Linked DNA regions of Kluyveromyces lactis. The protein of the gene in region 3 interacts with the protein of the main gene of each other region in a biochemical or structural test. Links are inferred from orthologs where the notes say so. Each region holds a gene or a part of one and is shown on either strand. Other genes may lie near its edges.

Region 1 (5,040 bases), on a different chromosome or scaffold from region 3:
TCTCAATGCTGTTGATAGCACATTTTTTTTCCCGTATGGATATCGCATCACCGGCAAAATGTTGAAACCTATCCACTTGATAATCTAACGCGTAAGTTGATCCCTGATTCAACATAACAATAACGTCTTCTTCTACACTGAGGCCAAATTCTTCCATAGTCAAAGGTTCTTCGCTGGTAAGATTGTACATTTCTCCATTCCATACCATTGGTTTTGTTGGACAGAATACCAAAACATAACCAAGCATTTTCAATTTGTTTTCGAGTTGAACGAGTTCTTCTCCTTCTTCCTCAGGGGCTGTCGAGCTTCCTCCTTTACCTCTAATGCCAACTCTCTGTGTGAGGTCATCTTGTTTTAAATGATAATAGGACACCCCGTTTCGTCTTTCTTTCTGTACGAACATCGCTTCGGGTAATGTAAGATCCTCTGGAGGGTTGTAAATAGTTAAACTATTATTAATTTCAACTTTTGGAATCAAATCGGACCCTATTTTAGTAGATTTGATAATGTCCATTATTTCATCATCAGAGCATCCTAGAAGCTCCTCACTTGCAATTAAATAAATCCCATTTTGTTCTAGGATCCCTCCAGTGTAGATCAAGAAGTGTCCACTATTCCTAAGTCTCTCCAGCAGCATGCTGTGATCCTTGATGTTATAAAGAACAGAGTTTTGGAACGCCTTCGTTAAGACGTTCGAAAATCTATTGGTCTTTCTCTTGAAAGCACCGACATTTTCTATAACTTCAACTACCCATTTTCTGGCATCATCAGAAGTTACTAAGTCTACTGAGTTTCGTTGCTCTTCCATAATGTAAAGATGTAGTCGGTTCAACAATCTTATAGTAATGTTGACAAAACCCTGTGCGATTACTTTACTTGCTCCAGATATATAACAACCGAAGTTTTTCAAGTTTTCCCAATGGGCAAATAAAATGTCTGGTTCTTTAAATGTTTTAAAGGAATTCTTTGAGCTGTCAATCAATTTTAAGTGAAGAAGTTTGAACAAGAACTCTATAGCTTCAACAACTTTAGCATCGAAAGCATCACTTATCTCAACCTTAAGGCTCCATCCAGATCTGTATTCCATAAGGGTATGCTTGATTTGAACAGAAAGCTTGATATATGTACTGAAGTCATCAATCATTTGGTCAATCATCATCATGGTAGGCTTTTTGAGTTTTCTAGCGTATTCTAATCTGATTGATATTATTTCTTGGATCAAACGAAGTGGAAACGTTAAAAGAGAATGCAATTTGTCCACCGGTAAAGGTAAGCGCATTTCGTGAATAGAATTTTGTTGCTTCAAAAACACCAATTTGCTCTTGAACATCCAAGGGGCATGCTTGAAAAAGATCTTTTTCTGAAAGATACCTTCGATGTCCTTCTCTTTCATAATTTGTTCTGCGAAAGATCTGTCATTTTTGAAGATACCTTCAGTGTCTAACGAATCTTTCGTAAAAGTTACATCCAAATCATCATTTTGAGTCCATTGTTTCAATGCCTCTATCTCATATTGTAATCCTTCGTACGAGTTTATCAACGAATTGAGTGCTTCAATTCTGCTTACAAAATTAGAGGTTTTGGTTACAGGTTTCTCGAGATTCATATTGGGGAGATTTTTCCAATATCCAACCACTTTGTAATATTTATTCAATAGTATTTTGGCTTCTTCTATGACAACTTCAGGGTTTTCTTCTTTTTCATTTTTATAGTTCAAGATTTCTTCGAATACCTCATCAGCAGTAGTTTTAGAATATTCCAATGATTTACGTTGATCTTCGACGGTTCTACCATTTAACCAAGCCTTAAGTTCTAACCATATTAGATCATTATGATTCAGTAAAATTTCATCAGGCTTGCGTTTCGCAAGTTTTGTCTTCTCACTCTTAACAATATCACCATTCAAAACGCTCGAGAGCATAGTCTGCCACTCTAGCCTTTCTCTGACTAAATGATTATTCGAGAGTTGTTCCAAAGCAAGCTGCGTTTCAATATTTGAAAAGCTCTCAAGACTGTCCGTAGAGCCACCAGTTTTATTCAACAGGTTCAATGAATTTTCTATTAGAGGGTTATTCGGTTCCACTGAGCGTAACCATTCCATCCTTTCAAGTAAGATTTTATCATTCATTAATACAAGTTCATCATCATCGATGGAATGAAAGCCTTTATCTGTTGTCGTTGCGATATTATTTCCGAAAATTGCAGAGCCCAGTCCATTATTCAATTTGCTTAGGTCATTATCAACATCATCGTTTTCTCCATCCACTCTAAAATCATCATCATCTTCATTTCCAGAAGACGTTATTCCTCGCGTGTAATAATCATCTGCTTTTTTATTTTTCATCGAGCTTAGATAAAGCTGTTCATTGAGTACGTATTGCTTTTGCAAAGGTTTGAACGATTTCGTGGTACTGGTGGTGCTATTATTCAGTGATCTAATCGATGGAGAAGACAACGTTGGAGTTAAATTTACTGTTGTAGTGGAACCATTCTGTTGTGCTGGAAAATATTGGTCCGCTGATGTGGAAACTGACATTGAACTAGCTGTTTGAGAGTTCAACGAAGCGACATTAGGCGGTACGGGATAAACCGAGGTCGATGACGGAGAATCATTGGATTGGTTCAGCGCAAATAGTTTGGAGCTTGTGAGCGAATTAGACCTTGACCTTGTTGAAAGTGCACCGCTGAGTTTGGGCGATGTTATAGTTTTCAACTGAGCTGTAGTCGGAGTCTGCGTTCCAAAGGAACCAGACACACTTGGTTTCCTTGAAGATATTGCTGAGGAGCTTGAAGAAGAAGCAGGAAAGAGCTGCCCCTGTTGATGCTGTCCATTTGGCAGAGATGTCGGAAGCGTCTGTAGAACTGGCAGTTTTTTAGTACTCAGAGTAGAATCTGATGAAAACGTAGGCGAAGCTGCTGATAAATTTCCCTTTAAAGTTTCATTTGAAGTGTCACTTGAAATCGAAGCCAGCGAATTCAGATGTGAAGTACTTCTACATTTCGAATCAGTATTGGAATTCTTATTAGAAGCCATCTTAGTCGTATATCTTTGGAATTGCTCCCTGACATATGCCTCGTCTCTGCTATCGTTGTTTTGCGACATGGCTTTAAACGACGAACTGAGAGAGGCTCAATCTAAACCAAACGTGAAGGAAAACAGATAAAGCAAAAAACAGAGCGTTACTTTGTTGTACAGTACAAACGTAAAAGTGGCCCTTTAAAAAATCCACCAATTCTCTTTCTTCCTTAAGATTGTGTAATCTCTGAAAGACCGGGAAGAATGCCCTTATAGACAATGAATTGACAAGTAGCCCCGAAAATTACAAAGCAAATCCCCTTTATTTCGAGTTTGCCGCACACCAGTTGTGTTTCTTAGCAATTATAACCTATCTTTATAACGATCTCGTCGCTGTTCTAATCCGAATGGCTGGCACACTTTAGCTACTTTGCTCGGTACCTATGAACCTTTAATTTGGTTCTTGACATGATAATTTTTTTTTTTTTAATGTTATTGATTTTTACAAAGAAAAGTTGAAATCTTTCCAGCCGTAAAGTTTGCTAAACAAAGAATATGGGGTGAACGACTCATCGCTAGGTGGTAAGGTTTATCTGTTGGGCATCTTAAGGTATTCTAGCTAGCGTTGGGATCCATGCATTAAGGGAGGATAAAATATCCCATTAGTGAGCTGTCAAAAAATTTCAATCCGTACTGAGGATATTACATATCATATTTATGGAACTCGATTGGTGTTTGGAACAGCTATATGAGGGGAAACTACTTCCTGCTGAGACGATCAGGGCGTTGTGTTTCAAATTAAAGGAATTGCTAGTGAGAGAATCTAATGTTGTTCATATCAGTACGCCTGTGACTGTTGTTGGTGACATTCACGGTCAATTCCATGATCTTTTAGAGATATTCCATATTGGTGGACCTCTGCCGTCCACAAATTACGTGTTTTTGGGTGATTATGTCGACAGAGGGTTGTACAGTGTGGAGACAATTACTTTGCTGATAACGTTAAAGCTTAGATATCCAAGCCGTATTCATCTAATTCGTGGTAATCATGAATCACGTCAGATCACCCAGAGTTATGGTTTTTATACGGAATGTTTGAACAAATTTGGCGAGGGAAGTCAAGTATGGCAGTATTTCACGGATCTATTCGATTATTTGATTCTTGCATGTATCATTGATGATACAATTTTCTGCGTTCATGGTGGACTTTCACCCAATATTCAATCCATTGATCAAATACGGATTATCGATAGGATCAGAGAAATCCCACATGATGGCGCCATGGCAGATTTGGTCTGGTCAGACCCTGAAGACGACAGAAACGATATCACTTCTTCACAATTCAAAGTCTCACCGAGAGGTGCTGGTTACACTTTCGGTAAAGCTATAGTGGACAAATTTTTTAGCATCAATGGTGTCACAAAGATGCTCAGAGCTCATCAACTATGTAACGAGGGATATCAGGATTATTTTGGAGGGAAAGTCACCACTGTTTGGTCCGCTCCCAATTACTGTTATCGTTGTGGGAATAAAGCATCTATTTTAGAATTATACTCACCAACAGACTTTCACTTTAACGTGTTCGATGAAGCTCCAGAAAATAAACTACTTACAGATCCAATGCTTAATGATAAAACTTTACATTCCTTCTTCGAAGAAGATGACGATGCACACATGGGGCAATATGACGTATTCTCCGATGAGCACCAAGCAAAATATGCTCTGAAAAGACAAGTTGACTATTTTTTATGAAGCAAATGTAACTGTATGCTTATCTCTAACTCTTTTTTCCCTTTCGCTAATGGTATAGTCCCATCTCATATTCAAATATTGAGTATAATATACAAGCTAATTTTTATAGATAAATCATATATGTTTTTACAAACTTACACATAATACAACTCCAAATTAGTTCCGTCGTGAACTTCATAATCTTCTAAAGTTATGTGATCTTTCAATACGCTACCACCTTTTTGTAGCACAATCTTGGATGCTGACGCAGTCCCCAATTGTACACTCAATAC
Region 2 (3,193 bases), on a different chromosome or scaffold from region 3:
TCCATTGAAGAACAATTAACGGAGGAAAGCGTTTCCAGCCATGCAGAATATCTTGAATTACTACAACCAGCAATCTCGTTAGCAAAAATGTGTATTGAAATGGGATTATACGAGATAAGTTTACAAATAGTAGCAGCGATCAAAGATATTGACGAAGACAATTTGGAGAGCTATTACTTGGAAGGGTTCACATATTATTTGATGGCTAAATTAGAACAGTTTAAACAACAAAACCAATCATTACAACTATCTCCTGAAAATATCTACGAATTCAATTCCCACGTCCAAGAATTACCTTTGGATATCAAGAATGAGTCATTGAAGGACATTATTTACGAGGCGCGTGTTTCTTTGAGCTTTGCTTCTAAGTTCAGTGAAAATGCGGAGTCCGACGATGAAATGGCCAAGGAAATAATCCAAGGAGTCCATGGCTTGTTGAATGAAATTGGTGGTGCTCTTGATATAACAGAACTAATGAAACTCAAACGTGGAGAGGAAGTTACAGAAATTGATGAAATCGAAATCAACGAGCTTGAATGATCTAAGAATGCAGGCACGGGCTTCATGTTAAACTGCTTTTGATCAATTCTTTCATTTCATCTTAACGGGACTTTTATTGTAACGTATTACTAGAAAAGTATTTAATTAATATTGCAGCTAATATATAGATATTTAGCGCAGAAAACAGAATGCTATAGATCCAATTTCTCCTTGATATCTTTCGCGAGTTCTGATACGTCGCTCTTTTCATTTAACGTACTGCCTGTTTTTCCGTTTTCAAGAACAGTTCTATTATCATGAGAAACACCATTGTTGTTCGTTATATCAACTGATACTGAATCTTGACTGGGTCGCTGTATACTTCTGTGCTCTTTATCACTATGTCCTTCAGCTTCCTCGTCATCTTCTATGTCTTCCCAATCATCATCGTGATAATTAGACATGCTCTGCGTTATCATTTGAGTAAGATAAAACGGCCTAGGATTCTCATACCTACCGTTGTCTTCGCCATCGTCTTCAATCAACTGCACATACTCTTCCGGTACCAATCCTGTCTTGGATCTATCGTGATTTTCTGCCACTAACCACCCTTGGCCATGCTTGTAACTTATATATACGACATCTCCTTCTTTCAACTCCAACTCGTTATCATTTTCTGGGACAAAAGCATACATCGCTATGGCTCTCTTATTAACGATATAATCATCTGGTAGTAACACACTTTCTCTGTTCCCACTCAATCGAAGGTTGTTCTGATCTTCATCATCTTCTTCAAAATAACCAAAATGTAACGGATTTGATTCGTCATATGCGTAATCTTTTATCGATATGTACCCAACCATATCGTCCTCTTGGTCAACCTCATATTCTGACATTATGATAGTTATGTCTTCTGATGTTATTAGTAAATCTCACCGTCTTTGATCTAAGTTCAAAGCCTCATTCAATATGTGTTCAGTTCTATATTTCTAGTGTGAACGAATGCTCCACGGGAAATGATTAAATGATAAAGTCCTATGTCCTCTTAGAAAAGTTTGGTATGAAATGTAGCTTGCTATATGTAGTTGCCAGTACGACGTTCGTAGTTCTTATTTCTTTGGTACACGGTAATTGTTAACGTAGATTCGCATTTGAAGTTTCAGATTGCTATTTTTTCATATCAAGGCTATAAAGATTGAACATCAACGCACATTCACGAGATTGTTCACAGGCAAAACAGGTGAGCTAATTTAACTGGTACCTGGGATGGTAGATAAGCTTACGTTAGTTTCAGTGGAGTGCTACAGATTGAATATAATATTGACTGTGTTCTGAAATGACTACATCGCACAGACCTCAACTAGAGGCCAGGAATGGGGCAAAGAATATAGAATACATTCCTACTTCGACGCAGCACGCTAGACTTTTACCGGGGCACAAAGAGGTTAAGTATAGAAACACGAAGAAGAGGGTGTTGAATCGTAAAGTAGAAAGTACTCCGAGTGAGGAGGCTAAGAAAAGAATCAAAATAACTGGAGCAGAGGAATGCTCGAAAGATGAAGAGATACAGGCCACGGATAGTAGCGATGAGTACGAGGAAGAGGAGGAGGAGAGTGAAGATGAAGAAGCGCTATTAGAGGAGTGGAATAAAGTTAAGCAAGAAAGATTGGACAAAAAACTGAGAGAACAGCGTGCTGAAATCACAGCAGCTCAAAATGAAGAAGTGACGAAACCGCAAAAGCATGGTGGTTGGAGATCTAACACTGTATTTGGACGTAAAGGTACAGTCAATCAATCGGCAAGTATATCTGAACATAATTCAAATGGGAAGGGAAAATATGTCAATAATATTACTCAAAGCGAATATCATAAGGAATTTATACGAAAGCATGTAAAATAGTTTATGTTAAATATTTTTCTATTATGGAGAATCAATCGACAGGTGTACGTCAAAAACTTAAATGAAGTCTATATATCTGTTCTTCCGCACTATTTACAGGATGACTTTGTATAATTATACATATATGCATTAAGGACCAAAATATTTCGAATGATTTCAGAATTGTAAAACGTCATCGATGAAATTTCTAACGATGTCCTTGTTGATGGATCCGTTAGTGCTGATAAAATCAATAGATGAAGCTTTGCCTCCTAAGCTTCCGCCTTCAATTTCAGAGAGTTGTACCAAACAATCTTCTTTGTACTTGAATCTTAATAAACGGTGTTCGTAGCGATGCAAATAATTGTATCTGATCTTTTGCGGTTCTTCCATTCCTTCTAATTTCACGTTCAATTCAAAAGAAGGAGCAATGCGGGGCTTCTTCAAGCCTCCGAAAGAGAAATTACTTTCCTGTAAGAATTTCCTGAAGCTTGGTTGTTCCCTCTGTAGCCAATCGAAAAACTCTGAAGATTCCAAATCTTCTGGAAGTGCATCCACTGTATCTGTCACTGTGATTTTAAAGTCATGAGAAAGTGTAGGAGTTTGGATACAAGCTGAATTATCCGAATAAGTGTGGATGCATCTGACGGTCGAAGTATCAGCGTTGTTATTTTCATCCAAGGTGAACCAAACTTCCAAAGGAGAAACATTAACCTTGTGAGAAACGTCCGCTAAGTTGGGAACAAATTTCATTTGAACCAAATATAGATGCTGATCAACTGAGAATAAATCGTCCTCCACATAACCGTCTTTATCCCATAAAGGTAGTCGAAG
Region 3 (4,832 bases):
TCGTTCAAACCAGTAAAACCGCACAAATGCCAAGCCACTATGAATGAAAATTGGGGTAGTTAGCGCGGTAGTAATATACAGAACAATTTGTTGGTACAATGACAGCTCATTTAAGTCTACTGTGTTTAAACCACCCTGGGTTGCGGCCCCCGTGGCTAGAAACAAAATATCGATGTATGCAAAGTTCTTAACGGGATAAATAAGAATAGAACATAGTAATGCAAATGCAATGATGTAAAAGTAATGGAATGCAATGAAGTTTGGAAATATAAATTTGACGAAAGGATCGATTTTCTTTGTTAACTTTTCGATAATGTCACGAATCTGATGACCTAAAGTCTTTCTGTATATTTGTATGTTTTGAACAGTAGGATTTCGTACCACTTTGCGGAAGATCATCTCTCCGCTTACCTGGTAATTACTAATACAGGTTACCAGTAGTTAACACTGAGAATTGTTATTATTGACGGTAACTTGAGTAGCTTACCAAAAGTTTATTTGTCTGAATTCAATGCTTTTATACTTTAGAAACCTCGGTACTAAATAAATCATTTTAGGTTGGCATATGTTCAATTTTTTTTTTTTTCCATCAATTTCATAACTTTTCATGAGAGGCTTTAAATCCTCGAAGGAACATTCTCAGCGAAATGCGGCCAAACAGGAAAACCTGACACAAGTCGATAAAAGCGTTGGTGCGCTTGACATTAAAGACGCTACGAATTTTTCACCAACATTTGAGTGATCCTAATGGAATCATAATCATTGATAGAATATGGTAGGACCTATTTTTCTCAAAATATTAAATGCTACCATAAAGATGATAGCGGTTCATACAAATTACACAGTATATAATATCAGTCCAATAAATGTATTGTCGGTAGTAATTGATGCATTGGAATAAACGTAATGAATTTTGCGCTAAATAAATGGCATGTAAACAGGTTTGTAGTTCTGAAATATTATGACAAGCGCTGGAAAATAAATGGAGCAAGGCTGATTTTTGGATTAGTGGGTTTTAAACTGTGGTTCGCTTTGTTTTCTTCTATATTACGGAATAACCGGAAGATAAGAAGGCGAGGCAAAGCTTAACTTACAATCCGCCCATATGCAAAGCAGGAACGTGCTTAGGTGGACCTTCGCCTGTTTGTTCTAGCAATTCCCTTTTTTTGTTCAATCTATTCGTTATGTATTCACTCATTCTTACGTCAACGTTTTCGTATTTTTTCAACCATGGATGTTCTAATAGAGCGGCATAAGTGGGTCTACGTTCAGGGATTTTTTGCAAACACATGGAAACAAAGTTTTGAGCATCGGCTGAGAACTTTCCCTCTGGAAGTTTAGGAGGTGGGCCGTCGACGATGGCACTCAACTGTGAGAATATGTTGTCAAACGTTTCTGGCGGATACGGATAAGCTCCCAATGCCATTTCCAATATCGATAGACCCAAAGACCAGATATCTGATTGGACAGAATACGTTGATTTGTCCGGATTCAGTGATTTGATTCTTTCTGGGGCCATGTAAGATTGACAACCGATATTTGTCTTGGCTAAAGAGGCAACGAGGTTACCTGACACACCAAAATCGCATAGTTTAATTGTACCCTGGCTTGCAGAACACAAGATATTAGTTGGTTTAACATCACGATGGATGATATTATGCACGTCTTTCAATTCCTTCAATCCTTGTATTACTGAGCTTGTTATCCTTGCTAGTTGTGGTTCGTCAATCCCCCCTATTTGTTCATCATCATAAGTTTTATCTAGAGATCCACCATCCATATATTCCATACACATATAAACGGCACCTTCAATGAAAAATGCACCGTAGAAATCCACAATGTACGGTGACTGGCAATTATGCAAAACTTCAAGTTCCATTAAGATCTGTCTAAACTTTGATTCGTCCAATTCCAATCTGACTTCCTTCATGGCCATTATGATATGAGTCGGCTTGTGTAAAACTTTGGATACGTTACCATAGTTACCATGACCCAATTCTTCCAGAAACTCTAGTTCATCTAACTTTATCCGGAAACTGGAACCGTTGCTAAAGTCTACACCTTTAGAGGATAAAGACAGCTTACCTGCGAAATTTAGAGATCCTGATTTAATATTGACATACTTGGAAAAATTAGCAAACAATCCACCGATACCAGAGTTAGAATTAGAAGTAGGATTAGATTTAGGATCAGTGCCAAGTGTATCATGTGAACTATTAGCCAAAGAAGTAGAAGTGGATTGAATACCATTAATCAAAGATCCGGGATTCGAACGTTTTCCTTGCAAGGGCAAAGCAGAATTGGAGGGAGCGCCCGCAAATTCTTGATGTGTATGTTGAGGAGCAAGCTGCTGTTGTTGATGTGTTGGTTTCATCTTCAAGGACATGCCGCCCGTAGGAAGCTTCAAGCCTCTTCTTGCAGACAAAGACTGTTTAGCCTTTTGTAGATGTGGCTGACCTTGTGAAAGCCTTGGTTGATTTGGCATTACAACGCCCCCAGCAGCAGCAGGCGGTCTGAAAGTACCTGCTGCTGCCTGAGAACCTCCCACGCCACCAATTGGACTTGGCGCACCAGCATTGCCGCTGCCAGTACAACTGGGAACACCTTGCGGACGTTTTGGAGCCTTTCTAATCGGATTGAGTTCATGATCCTGTTGTTGCTTATTACTGGCACTACCAGAAGATTCCGAAGCAGATGACATACCGTCAGACTGTATACTCAAATTCGCCAGAGCCTCTTGTGTCTGCTTCTCAAACTGTCCCTTCTTTTCCTCTATATCGGGAAGTTCTGTCTTAGGAGACAGCAGCAGGCCCCCCTGCTGCTGTTGCTGCTGATCATGCTGGTCATTTTCCGTAACTGATTGTGCTAACAATTCCGTATGCTGTAGATGCTGTAGATGCTGGTCCTGTTGTTTTAGGATCGGTTGTCGTTGTTGTTGCTGTTGTGTTTGCTGTATTTGTATATTATGTTGTTGTTGTTGTTGTTGTTCTAATTGCTGGCTATTCTCAGCCTCTTCAACCATTGTCTTCGGTGGCAGAGGCGGCAACGGTTTATTCACAATCTGCTCTATCTGAACCGAATTCTGTGACTGGTTAGAATGAATACTACCGGACCGTTTCAACTGTCTCTGTTCTTGGAAAGCTTTCACTCTGGCATGCAAACTGGAATTGATTTGAGAATACGATCCATTCCCACTGCCATTTCGTCCTGGTTTCCCCTGCGACGAAGAAGATGACGCACTGGACCGTCTCAAACTATTACTCATAATTGGACACACTTAATCGCCCTACTCACCTTACTAAAGTACCCTTCACTCACTCCTTTTCTCTTCCTGTCAAAGAGTGTTTTCCAGACAAAATACTAAATCAAACTGAAAGGTTAATTTCAATTTGATTTTGAGTTTGAATTATAATCGTTATAATTATATCGATCAAAAATCAAATTTGTCAAGAAAGGAGATAAGAAAAAATACAGAAAAAATTAGTTCCCAGTAAGATGCGCCTAGCAGTAGAAGTAAAACGAAGGAATTGTAGTACTATCCAGGATCCGTGTCACAGCTAAGCAAGGGTTCTTCCCGCAGTTGCTATTGCTACACGAGGCTTTGTAAATACATTGCATAAATTATATTGTACATTACTTAAATACCCTCTCTTCATTTATCACTTGAGTATGTATGTGAAATCTACAATTCCCCTGCAAGTTTAACAAGATTATTAGACTTTCTGGTTTTTGTTGTGTCTGTTGGTCGGTGTAGCCTGCTATGACGTGAAGTAGACCGAAAAGCAAGATCGTGAATATGGTTTGAGCATTTATTTCGTAGTTGTTGATGCAGAGAGAGGGGTAGTGGTGGGAATCAGGCCATTGCCCGGTACTAACCTTGTGTGGTGCATGTATGCGGTGCAAATATGCAAATCTTTTTTTCGGGAATGTTACCCGGGGGGATGATGGTGTCCACGTGACTATCACGTGGACGTTCGTTAGTTTTTTCCAAGCTCTCTTCACTATTCTCTTTGGGATTTGTATGTGGAGGGAGGACGGTGTAGCTCAATGGACAATGTTCTACGAACCACAGCATTTTGTGCACCGTCTTAAAGCCAATTTGTCGTCGTGTGACATTCGACCCCTCATTGCGCTTGTGCGAGCATTGTGAAAATAGCGCATGTTCCCAAGTACCCTAGCAATTGGAAGAAAGCTCTTCGAGAAAGTACAATCTGCTGCCATGATGAGTAGTATTGCGTGAATATGTTCCGAAGTTGCGTAAAGAACCCTAGCACCATCTTCAATCTTTGCTATTGCCTTCGGGCTGTGATTGTCCCCTCTTGTCTTTTCTGTCCGATCCTTCCTTTCTTCATCATCTGTGAAATATTGTGTGCATATCCAATATTGACATTTTCCATTTAATATTATTATTATTATAGAACTTATATAGCCATGAAAGTAAATTATCCATGTATATTGCAGAGGGGAGACAGGGAAGAGACGCACCTTGTAGCACCCAGGACAAGCAATTGAAGTGTTGGTAGATATGGGTACTAAGGGGAATGAGATGAATATATGGAACCAAATGGTTTGCGAGGATAAAAAACCAAAGTCTACTGATGCAGGGGAACCTCCTGCTTACATAGAATCGATTGATGCTGAAAAGGACACAGGGTACTGGAAGTACGATGTAGAAAAGAATGAGAGTGGGAACGACGGTAAGAGGAAGAAGACTAGATTTGTCAAGTTTTTCCATTTCTTTTTGGCTCTTTCCCTTCTTTTATTCGGTTATCATAAAGGGTTATTCTTTGGTAACTTCTCTTGTAATCATCACCAGCTGGACGTTCATCCAG
Region 4 (3,652 bases), about 730 kb from region 3:
TTGGAGTGGCATTTGATCAGGGAAAGCTATTGCCAATACCGGAACTGGTTCCCTTTAGACTAACAAGGGATATTGTAGACGGATTTGGCGTAGCAGGTATCGAAGGTTTGTTTAGAAATAACTGCGAAAGAGTATTTAAGGTGTTACAAGACGAGAAAGAGCGATTATTATGTGTTCTAAATGTTCTGAAATGGGACCCATTATATTCATGGAAGATGACTCCCTTGAAGAAGCAAAGATTGCAAGCAAAGTTTACTGGTGATTATGATGAGGAGGAAATTAGTGTTTCCGATGCAGATTTCAGCGAGCTTTTAGAAGAAGATAATAATAATGATGAATCCATAAGAGCACTAAAGGGAGTTGAAAGTAAGTTATATGGAGACGGTTTGAGCGTTGAAGCAATTGTTCAGGAGCTTTTGTCCAGTGCTACTGACAAACAAAATTTAGCGACAATTTACATGGGATGGTCCCCATTTTATTAAGATTGATGTGTTTGAAGTTCTTACTCGAGATGAAGACTTTATTATACTACCAGCACCTGAAGCGATTTGCAAGCAGTATAATTATAAATAATAGCATATTCATTAAATAGCATGATTCATTCGAAGCAAGTATTTGCGTGTTAATGAAGAATTCAGTAACTGTGTTGATAAAAGCACTTGAATTTTTCGCGAATAAGGTTGATAAGCCGGTTGTTATTGCAAACTGTGGAAATAATATAATATAAAAGACGATACACAAATCAAATGTTTAATGATACAAACTGATGGGAGGCAGTAATAAAATCAGTGTGATTTCCCATCCAAAAGCTTAACGTAATTACTTGGGATAATCCCTGTTTCCCCGTTTGACTTCTTGGCTTTCCACCATCTACCCTCGATATCACCAACCCTGAGAATTTCGCCCTGTTCGAAGGATATTTCATACGCGTCAGTTTGGTCCGCTTGATAGGTATATAAAGCCTCTGCAGTGTATGGGAAACTGTTTAATTCTTCACCAATGTCACTGTATAGGCCTAATGTGTCTCCCATGGTAGTATCTGTGTTGGCATTGGTGGTATCTGTGATGAAAGTGCCAGTGGCCTGTGTATTCAGTGTAGCAGTATTTTGCGCATTAACATCAAGGTTTGGTTTCGAAGAGGAATGATCTGTATTTTCAAATCCGTTCAGCACTGTAGACGACACATACTTTGTAGACGATTGAAGTTCTGGCGCATACATGTTGCCACTGTGGCCCTCACCTTCGTCATCGTGGTGGACATCAGGCAGAGATGCTGAACGCAAGTCTTCCTGGTATTGGTATGGGTAAGAAGGTTTGACCGGCAGTCTCTGCGATCTGGCAATAGCCATGGATGTCTCTAGCACCGAAGGACGAATTCCGCGTAGTGAGAACGAATCGATCCATCTATTGGTTGGAGATGCATTATCTCCACCAAAATAAATCACCCACACCAAATTGATCATGGATAACAAGATAAATCCTGCTGCTGCTGCACCACTCTTGGACCCTTCATAGTACACAATACTGTTAGTACTATTCGAAGTATATACGAATGCGATACCAACAGCACAAGTAATGAACATTCTATAGTAGTCAACTAAATCCAAACAGTACACGATAAAAAGCGTAATCATTAGTAGTATCTCGTAAACTATAGTCCACCAAGAAAATCTTGGGAATGGAGACGTAGATGCTGCAACAGCAATGGATCCCGCCAATGCAATGATCCATGAGATCAATGCAATACTAAGTGTGCCTATGGCAAAAGGATCGCCCAAAAATGACGAGATGTTAAATTGATGAGATACATGCGGATTCTCCCTTACAGCACGGGCTTGACTTGCTTTAATCAACGCCATCTCTCTGTTTGCAGATATTCCCTTGCCTCGCTGGACTATTGGAACACTTGTGACAACACAACAACTAAAATTGAAATAAACTTGCTTCAAGTTCAAGTATGTTCGTATTGATTACTTTTTATATTTATGTATATACGGTATACATTTATCATTTTTTTTGGTGTCTGTCTACAATGAGAGATGAGTTATTTTTTGATCATGTGACAGGCAGCAACCAAAGGCTCGCTAGGAATACGCGGGCCGCTTATTTAGAGTGTCAATCGGGAGTACAATTGGTAGCAGTATCAATGGTTAGTCTCTAGTACCCTGTTTATCCTGTACCCTCAATGTGTCGCATGTAGAAATATGGTAGCACTTAGTGAAGTTATCATGACGATGAATCCCCAAATAGCAAGTAACAATGAGATAATTCTCAAGATTCGTTCTTTTGCTGGTGGTACAACGGATTTGGCGTACTCCGATGCGATTAACTTGTAGCCAAATATTCCAGGTAAGATGAAGGATATAGAAGTGGATCCGGTTGCTCCTACTATTGACAAAACGTTTGCTAGCGACGTAACACTCATAGCGAGGATGTACGAAAATAATAGGATTCCAGACGTGATAAAGATGAATCTAGGGCCTTCTAACGTTACTACTGGAGGCTGATTAGCGCTGTTTTCTTCAATTAATTCGTCTTCGCATTCGTAGGTTAACTGTTCGCTAGATTCGAGTTCAGAGTCCCGTAATAGACTGTTTTGTTCTGCACTTGTGGTTGTCATTGGGGGATGGGTGTTCCCCTTGGAGAAGTAATGTAAGATATGATTGACAGATGCTCTAGCTGGATGACATTGTAGCGGGAAGGCAAGGATCACTAACAATGCTATAGCTATTCTACCGATGGTGCTGGAAATGGAGTTTGGGTATAAGGTGATAATGTTACCAGTAATATGATCACCGAAGGTGCAATAACCTAGCGCTCCAATGGAAATGTACAAAGACATTGCTAGCGTAATGGCAATCCTAATCAATTTCGTTATACTGTCTAAAGATTTGTCTGATTGTTCATTGATGATGGAAAACATGTTGTGATGGCAAGTATACGCGAAAACGAAAATTGGAAAACTGCTTAGCATGGATGAATCCACATCACTGGGTTTCCAGATGCTAACATGGCCTCTTAAATGGTCGATTTCGCTATTTGGAACGGCAAAATGGAAGACAACTAATACGCATAAGTACCCAACTGCTGTAATTGCAATGGAAGAAGTGTACCTTAAAGAGTCTAACTTCTTAATGAAACACAACGGTGTCACGATGATCAACGTAACTGCAGTGATGTGAAACTGGCGTGATAAGAGCCACCCATGGGTTGTAAACGTGGACATTATCTGTGGTAACAAATCTCCAACGACCACCAAATATGAAACTCCGACCCCAAAACATTTAACAGCAATTGCAGCATCGAAAACGACGCTCAATTCAGGACGAGTTAATCTGCAAAGAGTGAAAAACGAGGCATGTCCAGGAGGAACGTATTTCGACACGTATGATTGTAAATATAACCCCGTAGAGGAACACAAGCCGCAGAATATAATCATTGACAAACCCAAAATCAATCCAAAGGGTTTAAAAGCATAAGGCATTGCAAGGATACCAGCCCCGCATGCCGTATGAAGAAGTGTGATGACCCCAGATTGTACACTGGATGACATCCTGTACTACGTTATAGTTAATTTTAAGGTGCTATCTCGTCAGTAGGAGAAACTACCTGTACTTCCTTATTTTGTGTTGCATAAAGATATATGGTCCTA

Evidence for each region.
Region 1: of the proteins of PBS2 (region 3) and SSK2, one has a biochemical effect on the other in vitro, tested with the Saccharomyces cerevisiae proteins (4 studies listed by BioGRID, with this or other methods). The link is inferred for Kluyveromyces lactis from reciprocal best matches to the Saccharomyces cerevisiae genes PBS2 and SSK2.
Region 2: the proteins of PBS2 (region 3) and NBP2 form a complex in vitro, tested with the Saccharomyces cerevisiae proteins (3 studies listed by BioGRID, with this or other methods). The link is inferred for Kluyveromyces lactis from reciprocal best matches to the Saccharomyces cerevisiae genes PBS2 and NBP2.
Region 4: the proteins of PBS2 (region 3) and SHO1 form a complex in vitro, tested with the Saccharomyces cerevisiae proteins (3 studies listed by BioGRID). The link is inferred for Kluyveromyces lactis from reciprocal best matches to the Saccharomyces cerevisiae genes PBS2 and SHO1.

Annotation. Positions count from the first base shown.
Region 1 is NC_006039.1:742,617-747,656, reverse strand, and holds the start of SSK2 (mitogen-activated protein kinase kinase kinase SSK2), read right to left. Parts: upstream 3,104-5,040; coding exon 1-3,103. Other genes in the region: putative serine/threonine-protein kinase PPG1, read left to right, coding at 3,734-4,768; ubiquitin-like protein HUB1, read right to left, coding at 4,903-5,040. UniProt on the Saccharomyces cerevisiae protein: Kinase involved in a signal transduction pathway that is activated by changes in the osmolarity of the extracellular environment. Activates the PBS2 MAP kinase kinase by phosphorylation.
Region 2 is NC_006040.1:1,430,261-1,433,453, forward strand, and holds NBP2 (adaptor protein NBP2), read right to left. Parts: upstream 1,377-3,193; coding exon 693-1,376; downstream 1-692. Other genes in the region: ACL4 (Acl4p), read left to right, coding at 1-540; U2-type spliceosomal complex subunit CWC15, read left to right, coding at 1,817-2,380; SLS1 (Sls1p), read right to left, coding at 2,537-3,193. UniProt on the Saccharomyces cerevisiae protein: Negatively regulates the high-osmolarity glycerol (HOG) pathway through its negative regulation of the HOG1 kinase activity. Mediates the binding between the PTC1 phosphatase and the PBS2 MAP/ERK kinase (MEK).
Region 3 is NC_006041.1:1,361,284-1,366,115, reverse strand, and holds PBS2 (mitogen-activated protein kinase kinase PBS2), read right to left. Parts: upstream 3,266-4,832; coding exon 1,091-3,265; downstream 1-1,090. Other genes in the region: TRK1 (Trk1p), read right to left, coding at 1-399; KLLA0_E15291g (uncharacterized protein), read left to right, coding at 4,526-4,832. UniProt on the Saccharomyces cerevisiae protein: Kinase involved in a signal transduction pathway that is activated by changes in the osmolarity of the extracellular environment. Activates the MAP kinase HOG1 by concomitant phosphorylation at 'Thr-174' and 'Tyr-176'.
Region 4 is NC_006041.1:627,984-631,635, reverse strand, and holds SHO1 (osmosensor SHO1), read right to left. Parts: upstream 1,860-3,652; coding exon 786-1,859; downstream 1-785. Other genes in the region: DNA-binding protein kinase TEL1, read left to right, coding at 1-482; AVT5 (amino acid transporter), read right to left, coding at 2,183-3,553. UniProt on the Saccharomyces cerevisiae protein: Plasma membrane osmosensor that activates the high osmolarity glycerol (HOG) MAPK signaling pathway in response to high osmolarity.